Drosophila melanogaster: one gene and its partners. The protein of the gene in region 1 interacts with the protein of each later gene in a pairwise test. Each region holds a gene or a part of one and is shown in the gene's direction. Other genes may lie near its edges.

Region 1 (4,353 bases):
ATCAAATTTGCATATACATATGTGTGTATGTATGTATGTATATATCCTCTAATAAAAACACAATGCATATTAGATATTAGATTAGATCTGAAACCAGCTTAAGCCAATTGAAAATCAAAGGCGCATCACAAGTGGGCATAACAACGTTTATTGCAAATATACAAAATGCTACTAATTATGCTAGAATTTTAAAAATAAGTACGCACAGTATTTGGATGGCAGTACGTGTAGTAGATTATTAACAGAACAATTCCGACAATATACAAGGCAATGATGGCTGTGGCAAGATACAAGGGAATGTACAAAGCGCAGGCGATGATATTTTGCAACAAACAGAATGTGAGATAGAAGGCGTACTTATATTTGGTTGGTGCATCCTTGACGGGCGTAAAAATAAATAGATAGACAACGCCAAAGCACAGGCAGTACGAATAGTTCATGGGGCGGGATTTTGCGATCATTGGCGAGTCCACAAAGAACACAATGGTGCCGTAAAAGCAAGCCAGTGTCGCGCAGATGATCAGCGTTTCGATGGGAAAAATACTGGCCACATACGCGATGCAAAGCGTTCTCGAAACTACGAAATAAAAGCGAATAACTAAAAGCTTAATATACACATTCTAAGCAACACAGCTAACTAACTACTACTAACCAGTGAGGCAGAGCAGGAAGAGAAATTGCAGAAATCGTCCCTTCGCCGCAATATCATGTTTGTCCAGTTGGGCCAGGCGATTGGAGTGATTGTACGCCTGGATGCACCACGCTATGTTGCCGAAGTAGACGATCAGGGCGATGTGGCGGTAGTCTGGGAAAAGAAATTTGAATGGGTAAATGGCATCCATCGACTTTCCATTCCGAGTTTCACTTTCGTTGGCTACAATCAATGAGTTAGGCTAAACGCCTAAACTGACTTTGATTTGCGAAAGTGAACGTCAGAATTTGGTGTTTATAAGCTTAAATTACTTATGCATTAGTTATCTTAATTAAGGCAGAGAGAGAGAGAGATTGAAATATGGCACTAATGTAGTATTAATATCGTATTACATGTGAACTCCAATGTCGATTGCAAAAGAATTGCCAGCTGTAGTATTTTCTGCGGTGCTGATTCCAAAAACGAGTCGAATAGACGAACGAAACTAACATTGCACTCCTCCGTCATGAGTTTTTGGTAATATCTGTAAGATAAGAATTCAGATATTCGTTATAAACATTCTAAAGTGCTCACTTATGATGAAAAGAGAAGATAAACTAAACGGCAGTACTACCATTTAGGGCATTAAGCTACTATTAACTAGTTTTATACACTGACACTAGCATTACTCACTCGATCTCCGCCTGCTTGTCATCCCGCTCCTTGGCCAACGAGTATTTGAACGCATAGTTTAGGACATAGACATCGCGGAAGAGATATGAGATCACAGCATTTGAGTACACCCCTCGCTCCAGGATGCGTTTTTCGCCGGCATGAGCGCTCTTCAAGCTGAAATTCAAATACAAATTTATCGTTTAGCTGTAGATTTCGGGGGAAGTACACGCTATCGCGATATGTCACATACGTATGTATATATATGACCGATGTGACCACCATGGGCACCAGAATGGAGCCAATGGTCCAGGCGCAGTATCCGTAGGACTCCTCCATCCAGTACACGTACGCCAGGCTCCAGTTGATGCAAATCGAGACGAAGCGCCACAGAATGGACACCACAGTGAGCAGCATGCTTAGTTTCGAGATCGGCCCCATCATAAGGGCGTCCACTTCGGTTCTTTGCTCCGCGGAGGCCATGTCTCCTCCGCCTCCTTATTGCACATGTGCCACCCTAGCCACACACAAATATCCAAGGCCTCGACCTCCAAACTACTCTCGCCTTCAACTTGCTGACACTGGTTTTCGACTAAAAAAAAAAACAAAACACTGAAGATTAGAATAAAGACTGAATTCTACGAGAACTTGTTCATTTGAACTAGAGATAGATCGATCGTACGCTTTTATCGGCGGAAAGCCGATAGTGAGCTGTTGCATCGAAAGCGTCATCGACGAAGTGCCATCTCTAGCCGACGGGTGGGATAGAATCTCCAATTGGGATTTCCATCCAGTGATTTCCTAATTAAATTAATTTTTTCCAATTGCCCAAAGGCATAGGCATATTTCGCAAAACGAACAAATATGTTTGCTTGAAGCGCATAGAATCACAAACAAAAGTGCAAATCTCAGAGCTTAAAAACCAGAGCAAAGGAGAATAACGGAAGAGGAGGCAAGCAAAAAGACAAAGAGGAGTGCAAAAAATACAGCAAACATCATGCACAGGACATATGTAAGCCATGCGATATACGCCATTTGGCTGGTTATATTCGCCACTGCCGGCATAATGGCCCAGCTAGACCTGGATCAGATCCAGACCCAGCTGCCCGACCAGCTGAGGAAGTCAAACTTTAGCGTGAACGACGCCAAGGAGCTATTTCGCAACAAATGCATCGAGGTGGCCGGCGAGGAGGCGGGCGTCGAGGCATACGGCGAGATCGAGTCCGGATTCATGGTGCTAACCGAGTGCCTCAATGGCATTGTCAACTACACGGCAATGCAGCAGGAGATACAGGAAGCGTCGCCCAAGGGCGAACTGGATGTGGTCTTCAACAAGTACTGCAGCCGGCGTTCGAATGCCGTCGAGTGTGTGGATGCGTTCACGGCCAAACTGGTGCCCTGTCTGGTGCAGGAGGAGCGCGAGGGCCAGGATGTCATTAAGCAGATCATCCAGAGTCTGCTCAACTTTGTGTGCCACAAGGATGGCGATCAGATAGCCCTGTTCATTGCCGAAAAGGGACCCGAATGCATTGAGTCCCAGAAGGACAACATTCAGCAGTGCGTGAACAGCACGTTCTCCGAGTACCTGAACGTGTCGGATCTGCAGGACAACCGCATCAGGAGCATGCCCAAGCTGACGGTCGGTCAGAAACAGTGCGACGAGATGCTGACTCTGCAGGCGTGTGTGGTCCGTAAACTGGAGCAATGCTCGGACATAACACCGGCGAATCTCGTCGAGTCCATGTTCAACTTCATTCGGAACCAAACGATGTGCCGTGACAATCAGAAATCGCCGCTCGTTGCGGCTGCCGCCAGCGGAGGGAGTCGGGTATTCCATCAAGTGTGGACCCATGTGGGCATCTTTTTGCTAATCCTGCGATTCGCTCTACAAAAGTCTTCTTAGTTCTAAGTCTGGGCGTCCGCTATATATCTCGAATCCGAATCTGTAAAACGCCTTCTCAACGCTTTGACTTTGGCATTCCAAAGCGATTAATCAAAGAGCACGATAATCACTGTTTTTAAGCTTTTGCTTCGCTTATATTAATATGCATGTAGCCGTGGAACAGGTGTCCATAGTTCAACCGCTTTCGGGGATAAGCATGCCAAGGTGCTGCTGCTCCAGGCTAGCCAGCCATATCGTTTTTGTTTGGTGCTTCTAATTTATGTAATTAATTGCCAATTGATGTATGTATGTATGTAGTATTGTAAACAATGCTTATACTTCCTTCTAGTTTTACTTCTGAATCAGAAATTCTTCTGGCCTTTGTCATGCGTTTATCTAATGCTTTATTTCCGTTTAATGAAATGGCGTGGCTTGCGGTTCTGATTCGAGTTGGGTTTGTATTAATCTCTTTCATTTAAATTCACTGAGGGAGGCAAATGGTAATCTCACTATTTCATAGTGGATCGGGTATGGGTTTGGGAAATGAAATGCTATATATGTAAAAACAATGAATGGATATGTTTTGTAAATGAATATACGTATCATTATTGTAATAATAAAGTGATAAATGTAAAAAGAAGGACGAGTTCATTTAAACTGGGAGTTAAAGGTCAATTAGGTGGTGAAAAGTACTCAGAGTAGTTGAGACCGTGCAGCTGCATTCATTACGTTTTCAGAAATGAATCACCAACTAGTTTTCACCTTGAACGCCATTTTCAAATTTCGCGGCAGAAAAACCACAACAAAAGGCGCGAGAAAAAGCGGAAAACAAATTTGAAAACATTGTTCCGATAATTGCTGATTATTTGTGAGCAATCATTTCAAGTAATCGAAAAATAATTTTGAAACAGGCTGTCTTGTTAGGTCAATTATTTTTTATCGTGCCATTTAAACAAAAATTATTTATATTTATTTATTTATTTTCCATCGTTTCTCCAAATTACATTTAAAAGTTTGTAAGACTTAATACTGTAAAACACTATTATTAGTTATTAACTATAGTTTAAAATGGCAAAATAGAAAATGCGACACGCACAATTGAACTATCGAAACGTTAATATTTAAAACAAGTAATTTAAAATAATGAATACATGTATAAAAATAATTA
Region 2 (3,240 bases), on another chromosome or scaffold:
TATTTTACCCAAAAACTCGAGCAATCCAGGCTGATTCTGTACAATTTCGGCGTACTCTTCAAACGCTATCACCCCATCCTTGTCAGTGTCGAATTTTCCGAATATGAACTCGCACATGTCCTGCTCGGAAACGGTGCTGAAATGCAAGCATAATTGTCAATAATGTCAGTACACTCACCGCTCGCAATTCGTTGACCTCGTCGTCGTCATCGCCAGTGAAGAATTGTTCAATGGCCACGCCGACCACCTCGCGATTCAGAACCACAGCACCACCGCTTGTATAAACCTGTAGTCCATGGGGAAATTTAATAAAGGAGTAGCCACGATTTCGGAGCAACCACCTCAAATGCGAACTTCATTCGCTCCTGCAGACTTCCGTTGAAGAACACACAGAACAGCCGCATCCAGGCTTCTGGAGAGACTGATCGGCCATCCTGCGTGATATTCATCGAAATCCGGTCGATGATGGTCACGTCGAAGATCCCAAAGCTGACGAGGAATAGATTGTACAGCTGGCTGGTGGACATCATGCGGGACCTGTTGTTCAGGGCGTACTTGTAAAACACGATCAGCAAGCTGACCACTTCGTTGGTGGAAAACTCCGTGGAGGCAGCGAAGCTCTTGATCAAAGTACTGTACATGGTGAGGAACTTGTTGTTGGCCATGTCGTCCAGGGTAAGGTCGATGCGGTTCATTGTGTTTTTTAATGGCAATGGTAAACAAGTAATTATTATTTAAAATGTTTTTTAAGAGAGTACTGTGTAATGGGGCGTGTGTTTCGGGTGTGTGATGAAAATGCCTAACTTATGAGGCTCTGGCCTGCTTAAAAGGGTGAGGGTTATGCAAGACAAATTGCAAATAGATTGGGTAAGTCGCAGCCGCAGCCTAAGGATTCGCCGGGAATGTAACTGGCGCAATTTAAAAGCGATAAAACAACGCCGCGACATAAAAAATACATCAGCCACGCTACATGGACTACATCTGTCCCCCATTTCGAATAAATATTTGAAACAAACCCGCCTGATGAAACACACAAAGGCTGAGAAAAAAGCTGAAAGCTGTGCGCATGAGAAACGCGAATATAATAATCCAAACAAAAGCGCTGAGATGGGTGTAAAGCCTTCCATGTGGAAATTCGTCGGAAATGGCTGTGTAGCCATTTTGTTTGGGGTAACAAATGTTCGGAATCTCCTTCCCTTTGTTGTATAATTGTATGCCCCCTTCGAAACACACTCACGCAAGCACACACTCACACGTGCCACGCCCACCGAAATACCAAAAAAAATGAGGAGGCGGCTGAGCAGCTCGACACGGCATAATAACAATAAAATAAGAGTGGATGATGAAGGAGAGAGGGCGGCAAGGATTCACGCTCCTTAATGTCTCCACAGTTGACATCGCCAAGTGTTGGCGGATTTACAGGCAAGTTGGGCTGGATTTTGGTATGGACTTTTGATTGATATATTTTACGTACGGTGTTTGGAAGAGACTTACGGCATAAATTTGTTAAGCAAGACAAATGGCGCGGAAGCGAAATTGGAAACATTTTAATTCTCATAAAACGCTTAAAGAGGGCAACCATATATTTTGTATTTTTGAAATCCAGAAAAGCAGGCGAAGGAAACATATGCCAGCTGCACTAGACATATCCATTAAATCATTGTAACTCCTTAATCGATAATCAAACAATATCATATATCCAGTAGTAAATCAAAGTAAAGAGTAAATCACCGTGAGCTTCCCTGAACCATGGAAAACCTAGACTCCACTGTCGATAGCACCGAGAACAGCAAGTTCTCGGCCCTGTACGGTGGATTGATTAAGGAGATCGCTGCAACCTCGAAGATGTCCACCTTGGACATCACCTGTTTGCTTTGCGTTTACTACAAGTTCGTCAGGTTCAACGGACCTGGCGCCAAACAGATGAAGAAGAATCAGTTCTACCAGATCTACTTGGTGCTCTTCAACGTGGCCAATGTTCAGGTGATTGAACGCTCCCTTCTGGCCATCACCAAGGATACCAAGTACGTGAGTCCCCGTGCCTGGGTTGATCTCTTTGAGCTGTACACCACAGAGGATCTGGAGCGCCGTATGAAGTTTGCCTTTGAAGTGGGTAATGGATTGTTAAGCATTTCTAGAAGGCTCTAATAGGGTTCTTTATTAGGTTTATGACACCAAGAACACCGGAGTTATCGATCGCGAGCAGGTGGGCGTGGCATGCGAGAAATTCTTCCACGAAGGCGACGACGAAGATGAACTAATTGAGCTCAGAGCGGTAAGCTTGCTTATCAATTTAGAATAATTTAATAAATTTACTCCTCACAGGACATGACTGAATTTATTATGAAGAAGTTTGATGTAGACAAGGATGGAGTCATTTCGTTTGAGGACTACTCCTCGGTTGTTTCACAACAACCCGTTTTGGTTGAGTTCTTGGGCTGGCTATTTCCATCGAACGAAGAAAGGGATCTTATGGCCCATGTTATCAACATGGACTCCATGCTCAATTATTGTAATCCGGACGCAAAATAGGCTTGTCGTTTGATTAAGCTTGATTATCCCACTGTGATAATAATCGAACGACAAACGACAATGAATGAGGACCAAAAGGATGCCGCCAAAGTAGTTGATCAAAATTTTTGTATGATTTCAAATTAATCATTTTTATAAGCATGATATATCAAATTTCCACCAACACTTTGAAAATAAAGCAAAATGTTTCGCGTGAGCTGTCTTAAAAGGACTTGCGATTGGTTCTTGTGTTAACTTGGTTTATATAAGGCGATAGAGTGGGCGACTCTTTATGTGAACTAGCAGACACTGCGTATGCATCATAAGCTCTCCAAAATCTCTGTTCACATTCTGCACGGGGCTCTGATCAAGTGGATATGCACACTTTAAAGAATACTGTATGGGTAACGGCGCTATGAGCCGTTTTGGATACTTATATAATTCCGATAGCCAAAAACGAAAAAATGCGACGCAGGAGCCTTTGAACTTATACGAAATAGTTTTTAAACATTGTTATTCAAAATCCATCTGCCAACCCGAACATAACACAAAAATCACAAAAAAAAAAAAAAATTAGAAAAAGAAAACACACACAAAAAAAAAGTTTCAAAATAAGGAAAAAAATAACAAAAAAAACTTTACAAGGAAATAAAAAACATTAAAAAGAATTTAGTTATGGAAAACCTAGACGCCACCATAGATAGCATGGAGAACAGTCGGTTTGCAGCG
Region 3 (5,604 bases), on another chromosome or scaffold:
GAGCTTTGCGCTTGCGAGAACTCTCCGGGTTGGCATTGCCGCCTTCGTCCTTGTGCATCTGCGCAAATTTTTTTTCCATCTCGTCAAAAATCATTTCACACTGGCGTACAATTTCTCCTTCCGAGGTGTCTGCTTCAAAATCAAAGTCCATGTCATCCAGATCATCCATAGGTTCTGCTGGTGTCAGTACAGCTGCTTCAGTATCCTTATCCGCCTCCGGTTCGCTCTTTGAAGTGCCAGCGCTTTTGCTGGAAGACGAGCTCCTCTTAGTTTTGGACCGTGAACTCGAGGAACTAGATTTGTGATGATGGCTCTTCGAGGAGGATGATGAAGAACTGCTCTTGTGCCTGCTACTGGAACTTTTGTCGTCGCGGTGCTTATCGCTGCTGGATGACTTTTTGCTGGAAGAGGAGCTAGATGAAGACTTGTGCTTAGAGGAACTTGAGCTTGAAGTATTTCGCTCCTTGGAGCGCTCCTTGTCGCTGTGGGAGGACTTTCGCTTATCCCTATCATTTTTTTCCTTCTCTCTGTCCCTTTCCTTGCTCTTCTCTTTGTCTTTTTCCCGGTCCCGGTCCCGGTCCCGATCCCTGTCTTTGATCTTTTCCCTTTTCAGCTCTCTGATCTTCTTCTTTTCTATATCCCTTTCCCGCTCCTTGCTGGGCTTTCGATCCTTTTCGTGGCTATCCCTAGCATCCGTCAGTTGCGTATTCTCCTGGTCCTCCTCGTTTTCAGCTACCGTATCTATCTTCTGTTCTTCGTCGTTATTCTGGACTTGCTCCTCAATCTCCACCTGCATCTGCTCATCAATTTCCTTTTCGAGTACCGCCTGCCAATCGTCATATTCTTCGCCATTTGTAACAGATGGCTGGCCGGGCACATATTTGGGAGCACTGTCCACGGACGCCTCCTGCTTCTTCTTAGCCGGCGATGCGTCAAGAGCCGGCTTCTCCGGGTGGTACTCCAGATTGGACTTCTTCCGGGGCGCACATAGCGTGATCTGGGGCAGTGGAAGGGAGAGCAACTTGGGTGCCGGCTTGTACTTGGGCACGGGGGAAGGTTCTGCAGGTGGAGCGGCCTCCAATTCGTCTGTAAACCGAGAGTGGATAGAATTTGTTGCGAAATTAACTGGACGTAATTCACTCACCTTTGCGAGCATGCTTAAAGTGGCAAAAGGGGCGCTTGCAGGACGCCGCATCCTGGCCGTCAAAGTAAGGGCACAAGAAGCCCTTAAAGAGACCCGTGGATGGCAGCATTTCCACCTCTTGCTGGGATTAGAAATTTAATAAAGCCGCTTGAGAAAACAAGCGTCCCAAATTTCTTTCTATTCTTTCTGCCTGTCTCTTTCACTCATTTCGACAGATGTCAGCTGTTTCAGCTGCTGGCGGCGTTGCCAGATAGGCGTCAGCATGGATGCTATGAATGGATGCTAAGGAATTAAATTAAATAAATTTAAATAAGTTTTAAATATTTACAAAACATTGAATGACCTATTTAATTAATAATTGTAAACAATATTCGCATTTTGTTAACGGTTACAATGTACGTTTATGGCAGTTGATTGCATCAATCCGGGAGGATTATATCTTGCGGTACGATGTACAATGCTATGCGATGTTAATAAGAATAAGATGTACGTAATAAGAATGTGGTGACTAACGGTATAAACAAATGGTGTAAAAAGTCTGGCAACTCCTGCAAACAGCTGTTTGCTGTGCCAATTTCCTATAGGGTCTTCGCCGCTTGTAAACAAAAACGCAGCAGTATAATAATAAAAATAATTGTTTAACCTATAAAATTGTTTGCTTATCTAGCCTAATGAACTTGATAGCTGCGGAACCGTTTTAATTTCGATCGAGTGCATCGCAAACTGAAGTTCGGGCGCGACATTCAACTGCCGCCTCATCGAAGGTTTGTGTGGGTGTGTCTGCTGGAATATGTTATTAAAAAAGAAATTCATATAGAAATTCAAATGAAACCGGCCATTATCGGTGGCCGACTGTCTGCAATAGCAATGATTAGGGTGATATATTATCGCACTGAGTCAGTGGACGCGGGTGGCGGATCCCACGGTGCGATAATTCAAGTGCTCCCCCTCCGGCAAGGTTTGCTGTGATATGGAACCAACCTATGGATTCAGTCGTATAACGGCAGTCTGGCGCTTCAGTTGTCTCCGGCAAAAGTGAATTCCCCATCGAGTACAAAGGTCAGTGGGCTAGAAATTCGCCTATGATTTCACCAGTGCGCCGGGAGTATAAATATTTATAAAGCTCCCCAATCCGGACTTTGTCCAGCTTGAGGAGATTAGTGAAGATAGTCGTCTAGCTGCAGTCCAAGAAAGATTACGTTCAACTTGACGCATAATCCGCTTAGTTGCACATTAAGTGTTCTTAGTTGTGTGGTATTAATTTGCACACCATTTTAATGTTTAACCTATAAGATGAGATCAATTTATTTCCGATGTGAATGTACTCAGTAATGTATTGGGTGAACTTTGGACCTGACGAACGTAAAAGCGATTCCCGATATGATTATTGTACTAATCTGACTTAGGCCTATAGAAAACCACCACACGCGCAGACTGATATCAACGATTCCAACGTGTCCCCCGCAGCTAAACCACCATGGACCGGGCTAGTCTATATTTTATGAGCAAGGATGATAAGAACACCTTCGACTTCGACGAGACCTTACCTTCGCTCCCGCTGCCGGAGCTTAGGGACACCATGGAGCGCTACTACAGCTGCATCCAGCCATTCGGGACCAAGGAGGAGTTGGCCCAGGCCCGCAAGACTATTGATGAGTTCCAAAACGGAGTGGGAGCCCAGCTGCACGAACAGCTCAAGAAGCGGGCGGCCGGCATGAGGAACTGGCTGGGCACCTGGTGGGAGGACTACGGATATCACCTGATTCGGATGCCGCTGCTGCCCTACCAGCTCATGGTCATGCCCTCGCAATTGGAAATGGTGGGCGTGCCGGAGACACCGGAGTACATGCTGAAGGTGAGTGGACCCACACCCCAAGCTCTATAAGAACACAAAGTTTAAGATTGCCTAATTGACTGTATAATTTTCGAAGAGTCTGGCGCGCCACATTCACCACTCGCTGGAGTTTTGGGATCTGACTAGAAAGTCCAGCATCAAACCGCTCTCCTCGAACGGCGGTAAAATAAAGTACTCCTCCGCGCTGTACAAGCACTTCTTCTCCACGTGCCGTGTGCCAGGCGAGGAGCAGGATCATATAGAGAAGCATTTTCTCACCAAGGATGAGGGCAAAACGCCGAGTCACATGCTTATTTCCGGCAAGGGACGTCAGTTCATCTTCGATTGTGTGCACGAGGACGACACTATCCTATCGGCTCCCGAAATCCTCGTGGCCCTGCAAAGAGTGCGCAGCATCCTCGACTACGAGCCGTTGGGCGATTGTGTGCCCACCCTGAGCCATGACGAACGCTCCACGTGGGCACGCAACCGCAACCGTTTGAGGGAAATCTCAGTTGCAAACAAGGAGACGCTGCTTCTGGTGGAGAGCGCATGTATGGAGATCTGCTGGTACGAGCAATCGCCCAAGGACTACGAGGAGTCCTGCCAGCTGGGTCTCTACGGTGATCTCCATTCCCGCTGGGCAGACCGCAGCAGCAGCATCATCGCCTTCCGCAACGGACGCTGCAACTGGACGGGTGAGCACAGCTGCTACGATGGCACGGTCAGCATAAGTTACGCCACATTCATGCAACTGAGCTTCCTGGAGGTGCCAGAGCCAGACTGGGCAGAGGCCGAAAAAGGCAATGTTTTGGAGGTCAAGGAGCTGCACTTCCAGCTGGATGATACGCTCAAGAACGAGATCAAGCGCGTGCAGAAGGATATTGATGACAGGGTAGGCAAAACGCCTTTTTCCGAAACCTGTTATTGAACTAGTTAATCCTTTTGTATGTGGTATCCTTAGGGTATTGACGTTACTGTGACCTTCACTGCGTTCGATGACTACGGCAAGGACTTTATGAAAACCCATCGACTGCATCCAGACTCCTTTGTTCAGGTGGTCATGCAGTGGGCCTACTACCAAATGCATAAAGAGTGAGTTCACCTCTGGACTAAAAAAAACAGCACTAACAACACTCCATGGATATCCAACAGAATTGCTCCCACATATGAGACTGCTCTGATGCGACAGTACTACAATGGACGAACAGAGACCCTGCGATCATGCACTTCCGCTGTGGCTGAATTCCTGAGGGCGTCATCCAACAAGCAGGTTGGCGATATGTCACTGGCCAGGGCGTTCCGTAGGGCAGTCGATGAGCACAAGCACTTCATGAACGAGGCGCGCAAGGGACACGGCATCGATAGGCACTTGTTTGGCCTGTGGTGCGCGGCGTATGAAAGCAAAATGGACATTCCCGCCTTCTACGACGATCCGATGTACACCAAGAGCGGCGGAGGAGGTAACTTTGTGCTCTCGTCCAGCACGCTGGGCTTCACGGCCAACGTTGGTTTCGTGGCGCCCATGGTCTTCGATGGCTATGGCGTCTTTTACTCCATCACCTCGGAAGCGTAAGCTAGACACTCCTCCATTATCTTGAATTGTTCTTTAATTTCGTACATTCTAGTGTGTTCATTAATACCACCGCCTATCGGGATAGCCTAAAGACAAGCGCTCGCAAGTTCAACGACATTTTCAAGGACTCATTCCGCCGCATCAGCGTTCTCCTGGAACAATTGGCCAAGGAATCCAAGCTATGAAAAGCTCATCTAGTATTAAGAAAAGATCTAATCTTACTTTATGTCGTCATTGAAATTCAGTTCTCATTTTTAGTTCCAATCAGAAAGTAGATTTTTGGTTTTTCTTTCCATTTTGTTTCAATTAGCACAATTACCTAGATTTTAACGAACAGTCGAATTTAAATATTTTTTATTTGAAATTGGATCCCTAGTTCAACCCACCTTTCACCGGAAACTAAGTGAAAACGCAGACTTCGTTGGTAGTTTGTAGTTTGACAGAAAGGGTGTGCAGCATTTGTAACTTCGTGTTAAACGTTTATTTAAATTCAATGATCGATTAGTTTTTGCAAATACATTTCTCTCGGTAATTCTTGTGTTTCAATTCTAAAATGCGGCTAAATAAGCTAAGCGCCCAGCCGCTTCAATACGTTAGCCGGCCCTAGATACTACGTACAAATTAATTGGAGCTTGCGCCGGATTACAATATATATATATATAATCGTCTATATACGAAAACTTTTCGTTAGTAATTTCGATTATCTGGGAGCTAAATGCTAATTACAAGTGGTTCTCACTGCGTTTCTTTATTTATGCAGTACTTTTTGAGTCGCAGACCCAAGGACAGAATGGGGGAAAAAAAATCGTATGAGTTGAGTTAGGAGCTGGGCTGTCCGCACTAGTGCGGCGGGGGCGGAGGTCGATAGTAGCCAGCGTGCGGCTGCAGCATTGAGTAGCCGGAGGAGGGCGGCGGCGCTATCCGTTGGCCTCGTCTCTGCTGCTGCTGTGGCGGCAAGCCGGCGTACGCCTGCACTCATTCCTGCCCAGTGGCCGGAACTGGCTGAAGGTTCTGCTCGGCAGCCGGTGGAGTGGCTGCCGCCTCTTCCTT
Region 4 (4,968 bases), on another chromosome or scaffold:
CGACGAACATTATTTGGCTCTTTTTTTATTGCAAGAAATAAGTGTTTTTTCGAAGAAAGGGTAACAATTTTGTTAAACAATTTAGCTTTTAGTATATTATATATTATAAGATCACATCTTTCCACTCTAAAAGCCAACGAAATTAATTAAAAGCGCAATTAATTTGTTTGACAGCTGAAGAAAACAGACGCCAAGCTTTTGGCTTATTTACAATAAGGGGGTAGAATGGGGGGCCAAAATGGCTGAAAGGGGTGAGGGGGCGGCAGGGGAGGCTGGCTTTTTTCTCCTTTCGTTTGTCTGATTCTGTCGGAATAATAAAAGTAATTTAATTTTAATGAAATTGTTAATACGAAAACAATTTCATTTTGCAAAAAGTTTTGCCTGGGCCAAAAGATGGGCAGAGACGGGGGTGGTGGGGTGTGGAGAGAGAGTGAAATTGCTCGTGACAATGAGTGAACGGGAAAACAACAAACAAACAAACAGGAGTGCGAGAGAAAAGAGAAGGCCAAACGAGCAAACACTACGGTACAGAAAATACAAAAATGCCGTCGCAAAGCCAAACAAAAAAGGCACTGCACAAGCGAAAGAGACAGAAGGAGGGAAAGAGAAAGATAGGGAATGCGAGAAATGAAATGCTGATGCGAAGATTTAATAAATGAAATTGGTGTGTGATTAAAAACACAAAAACCAAACGAAATCCATCTAATCAACTTTTGCTGCCGCCTCACTTTTCCTCTACTTTCTCCTCCTCCTTTTCCACCGACCCGTTTCTCCTTTTGTCCTTTCTCCCAGCTGCTATCTCTTTCCTTCCTTCCCGGCGACGTCGACTGCGAGAGCGGCAGAGGGGTGAAAAGAGGGTTGCGAAGTTGGGGAGGGGTGGCACAATACTGGGGGTGGGTGGTCTTAAGTTTGCAACGCCTTCTTGAGGGAAATTCCCGACCAAAGATCCTTGGATTTTTCTAACCTTACGAAATTGTACATAAATAACGGTTAAAATTAATAAATAATTTTTACAATATGTTACTTATTCCACTTAAACATTTATGTTTAATTAAAAAATTTTGAATTTTCAACATGTTTCAAAAAATGTCTTTTTATGTACCATAAAAGATCGGAAAATTCATTCTACCTGTTATATACTTCTTAACAAATCTAGTATACCCTCTTACGAAACGAGTTAAATAGTAAAATTTCCCAGTTTCTTATTCCCCTTTTGGGATTTTCTCTCTTCTCAGGCTCCACCCCTACATATGAGCAGAAAATGGCTCTGAAATGCCTATACATACACATATTTACATACATGACGGCCAGTTGCTATGACATTCTACATCTTACATGCATAATAAATCTGAAATGTAACGTACAACGTAAGTTAGAAATCACTAAAATGAAAAATGGCGCTGTATTAGTTCCAAAAACAAACACCATTTGTCGTAAACGGATAGGCGTTGTGTGCTGTTAGTTCCAAAAGTATACGAGAAAAGTTGAATAAATCATGGCGCAGAGTTAATCCTGCATTGGCAATTTATAATACTAGATTAATTTAAGACCGATCTTGACCAACTTCAATGATGATTTCATTCGGAATGATTATTAAAATCAAACTGATACATCATCTCTGAGAGAACTAGCAGGGAAAATATTATAAATTCTACTACTCTACTAAATCTACTCCTTTCACATAGTATATTTACGTTAACAAACAAAGTACACTTTTATTAATATGAATATTTTGTTATTTGATTAAAGTAATTAATTTGTAGAAAGGATTGAGCATAATATTGTTTTAAATTTTTTTTTTCTATCTCAACGCTAATTCATAACATTGCATCAGAAGAGAAAATAATTTTTTAAAAATTAAGAGAAAAAATGCTAATGTGCTCTTTATTTCATAATATTCGAGTAGTGGTAGCGAGTAAGTTGTTTGTTTCATTTTCAGTCTGTTGGAATTTCTCGTGCTGTGCGGTTGTCATTTGTCGCGATCGTGCTTGGAATTGACTTTAGCGGCATTTTTATAAGAATCAATGCAACGCGTGGTTTTCCTGCAAATTTTGGCACAAGTTCTTAATAAAAGAAAAAAAATATATATATATATGGCATTGGCGTTTATCAGAATAATCCACATCGCCATTTAGTTCGGTGGTTTTTCATCGACTTGTGCTTGTGTGTGCGTGCCACTTGGTTAGTTGTTGCTGCTTTCGCTAGTCGTACGATCTAGCATTTGTGCTCAATTCTGAATTCTAAAATAAAACAACAACTAGCGTTTTCCATATGTGCAACTATTTGCCTTAAAAAGCAATTAAAGCAAAGGCAGTGGTTAAAGTTGACTAAATATTAGTAAAACGTGAATTGTGAATGCAGTTTTGGTGCATTAAGCGAAGAGAGTGGAAGAGAGAGCGGCTCTCTTTTAGTTTGTGATTTCAAAGTGGAAAATTATTAATTCAAATGCAGTCTGCAATTAATTTCATGGAAAATCACTTGTTAGCTGCTCGTTCGCTCTGTCTCTTTCGCACTTCAGCTGACGAATTTTCCGTGCTAAACTTGACACTTTTCAGTCCATCATTCCAACTAATTCTTTGACTGCAGTTTTGCGTCGCATTTCCTTTCTACGCCGATCTGCCTCTTTGCCTTTCTTTTCTCTGATATATTTCAACAGAAGCTCAGTTGTTGTTGTAACTACTCCTCCTCCTTTTTGTTACTTGCTGCTTGTTTTTGTTGCTCGTCATGTACAATTTTTTCCAATTTGTGCGCCTTTTCATATTTTATTCTGCCGCGCTGTTTTTCTGTTTTCTGTTTCTGTCTCGCCGCCGCTACTATTTTTAGCAACAAGTATGGCTGATGTTGTTGTTGCTGCCGCTCAAGTTAACTACGCTACGCTGGCAGAAACAACAACAAGTCAAACTATGCGGAGCGAGAGAGAGTGAACTGAAAACAAAAAGAGTGAGCGATAAAATCCGCGAGAAAGAGTACAGTGGGGCTCGACTTAAATTATCATATTAAGCCAGATCACAAGTATTAACAAATCGAATGTTCTTAAATCCAATAAGCGTTAATCAGCAATGTTGATCAAAAGTTTTAAAATTATTTAATCGATATCAGTGAACTATTGAATACTATTGGTAAAAGCTCAGTCTTGTTTGCATCTTCAAGTGGGGGTCCCACTGTATTCGACTCAGGTGATAACAATAACAGCGACGAGTGAGAGAACTCTCTCTCACTCTCTCTCCTTCATTTCATTTCCCAATCTTTCGTGTTCGTGTTCTGTGGCTAATAGCATTTAAATTTTAATGCCCAATTTCATAGAAACGCAACGCAAGTGGAAAGACTCGAGAAAACAAAAGTGCAGGCCGTCTAAATTGATGGCGAAGTTTCGTGTGCCGCCTGCATTTCATTTATAAATATATTTTCGGCCTTAATTCTGTGCTTCCTGTGAATTAACGAGGAAACTGAAGAGTGCGCGAGCGAGACAGCCGATCACAAATCAACAAGTGGAAACGAAGAAACTTTCTTCGCAAAAGCCGGCTGATCGCAACAACAAGAAGAAAAGAGAGCGATTCTCTGCGACTGGAACCATAACATTTACATCGACCCTGGAATTTCTTCACTTTTCGTCCAACATGTAAGCTCCATTTTAATATGCAATTACTGTTCGCTGTTGTCGAACAGCAACTTATTTATTCATACTTATTGTTTATTTATGGATTTATGCCGCCTACGAACTTTGTGATTGCACAATCGTTCGGCCTTTGAATAATTTTTTTTTTCGCCAAGGCGCCCTTTTGTCTATATACCCATCTCTTTCGACTGCTCCAGTGCTGTCTTTTTCTGGTCCGTGCTTTGAATAAACAATTAAGGCTCAGGGTCTTTAAGCCCTTTTCTCCGCCTTAGAGCCGAAAGTGATTGTTGTAATTTATAATTTATATTTCCTTTCTTAATAAATAAATAAATAGTCAAGTTTATGTTTGAGTTTTATGATTTATATTTTAAGTTATTTCAACTGCAACACCAGCACCACGACCTACTCACAGCAAAAAACGTACAAGAAGGAAAGAAGGAATAAAAAGAGTGGTATTCTCTTACAATATGTTTTATGGCATAAAAGGTGTGGCCATTCATATCAAATATAAAGTAGTGTTGTTTAACGTTATTTTTGTAGGTTGAATAGTATATTCCAACACGCCCCCTCAAAAATAACGTCTATAATTAAAAACATAACAATAATATTCATTAGTAACTATCAAATGTGGGTGGTGTGCATTCTGGGAAGTGTTAACTGATCCAGCATTTGCTGCGAGGATACGGGGAAAACCCAGAAAAACCCGATCAGATCATTGTAACAAAATATGTTTACAGGAATTTAAATTTGAAAAATATATATAAAAATTTCATTCAGCATTCGATTGGTCGTCTTGCAGCAAACCCAATTTGTCTCGTAACTCCACAAATCTCGCAGCAGGCAACGGTTTTGTAAATATGTCAGCCAGTTGATTCTCTGTAGGAATATACTCAAGACAAATCACATTATTCTGAACTTGCTCTCTGGCAAAATGATATTTAATATCAATATGTTTAGCTCGTTTATGACATGAGGGATTGTTTGCTATGCTAATACAGCCTTGATTGTCTTCGTAAATTTTAATGGGGTTTTCTAGTTTAATGTTAATACTAGTTAATAAAAATTTAAGCCATAGAGCTTCTCTCACGGCTTCAAATAGGGCCATATACTCAGCTTCAGTTGATGAGGCTGCTACTGAGTTCTGTCTCTTTGTATTCCAACAAATGAGATTAAAATCAAACATTTTGAATAAATACCCTGTTGTACTTTTTCTATCAATTTCACTACCAGCCCAATCAGAATCCACATAACCAATAATTTTATTTTCAAATGCCAAGTTCTTTTTAAAAATCAATTTCATATCGATAGTGCCCTTCAAATATCTAAGAACTCTTTTTAAGTTCTGCCATAAT

What was found.
Region 2: the proteins of CG9917 (region 1) and CG15177 interact in a two-hybrid assay, tested with the Drosophila melanogaster proteins (one large-scale study listed by BioGRID).
Region 3: the proteins of CG9917 (region 1) and CROT interact in a two-hybrid assay, tested with the Drosophila melanogaster proteins (one large-scale study listed by BioGRID).
Region 4: the proteins of CG9917 (region 1) and for interact in a two-hybrid assay, tested with the Drosophila melanogaster proteins (one large-scale study listed by BioGRID).

The regions. Positions count from the first base shown.
Region 1 is NC_004354.4:16,320,901-16,325,253, reverse strand, and holds CG9917 (uncharacterized protein), read left to right. Parts: upstream 1-2,022; 5' UTR 2,023-2,300; coding exon 2,301-3,206; 3' UTR 3,207-3,823; downstream 3,824-4,353. Other genes in the region: CG32579 (uncharacterized protein), read right to left, coding at 189-598, 653-805, 1,045-1,175, 1,325-1,480, 1,557-1,786.
Region 2 is NT_033777.3:6,627,700-6,630,939, reverse strand, and holds CG15177 (uncharacterized protein), read left to right. Parts: upstream 1-1,618; 5' UTR 1,619-1,749; coding exon 1,750-2,109; intron 2,110-2,164; coding exon 2,165-2,275; intron 2,276-2,325; coding exon 2,326-2,532; 3' UTR 2,533-2,736; downstream 2,737-3,240. Other genes in the region: sunz (sungrazer), read right to left, coding at 1-120, 179-286, 342-695; sowi (solwind), read left to right, coding at 3,187-3,240.
Region 3 is NT_033777.3:27,702,859-27,708,462, reverse strand, and holds CROT (carnitine O-octanoyltransferase), read left to right. Parts: upstream 1-1,711; 5' UTR 1,712-1,908; intron 1,909-1,961; exon of another isoform or gene 1,962-2,398; intron 2,399-2,558; exon of another isoform or gene 2,559-2,611; 5' UTR 2,612-2,621; coding exon 2,622-2,999; intron 3,000-3,075; coding exon 3,076-3,873; intron 3,874-3,942; coding exon 3,943-4,073; intron 4,074-4,133; coding exon 4,134-4,550; intron 4,551-4,606; coding exon 4,607-4,739; 3' UTR 4,740-5,084; downstream 5,085-5,604. Other genes in the region: CG12877 (uncharacterized protein), read right to left, coding at 1-1,086, 1,145-1,253; btz (barentsz), read right to left, coding at 5,530-5,604.
Region 4 is NT_033779.5:3,653,921-3,658,888, reverse strand, and holds the start of for (foraging), read left to right. Parts: upstream 1-1,935; 5' UTR 1,936-2,167; exon of another isoform or gene 2,168-2,181; intron 2,182-3,303; 5' UTR 3,304-3,619; intron 3,620-4,968.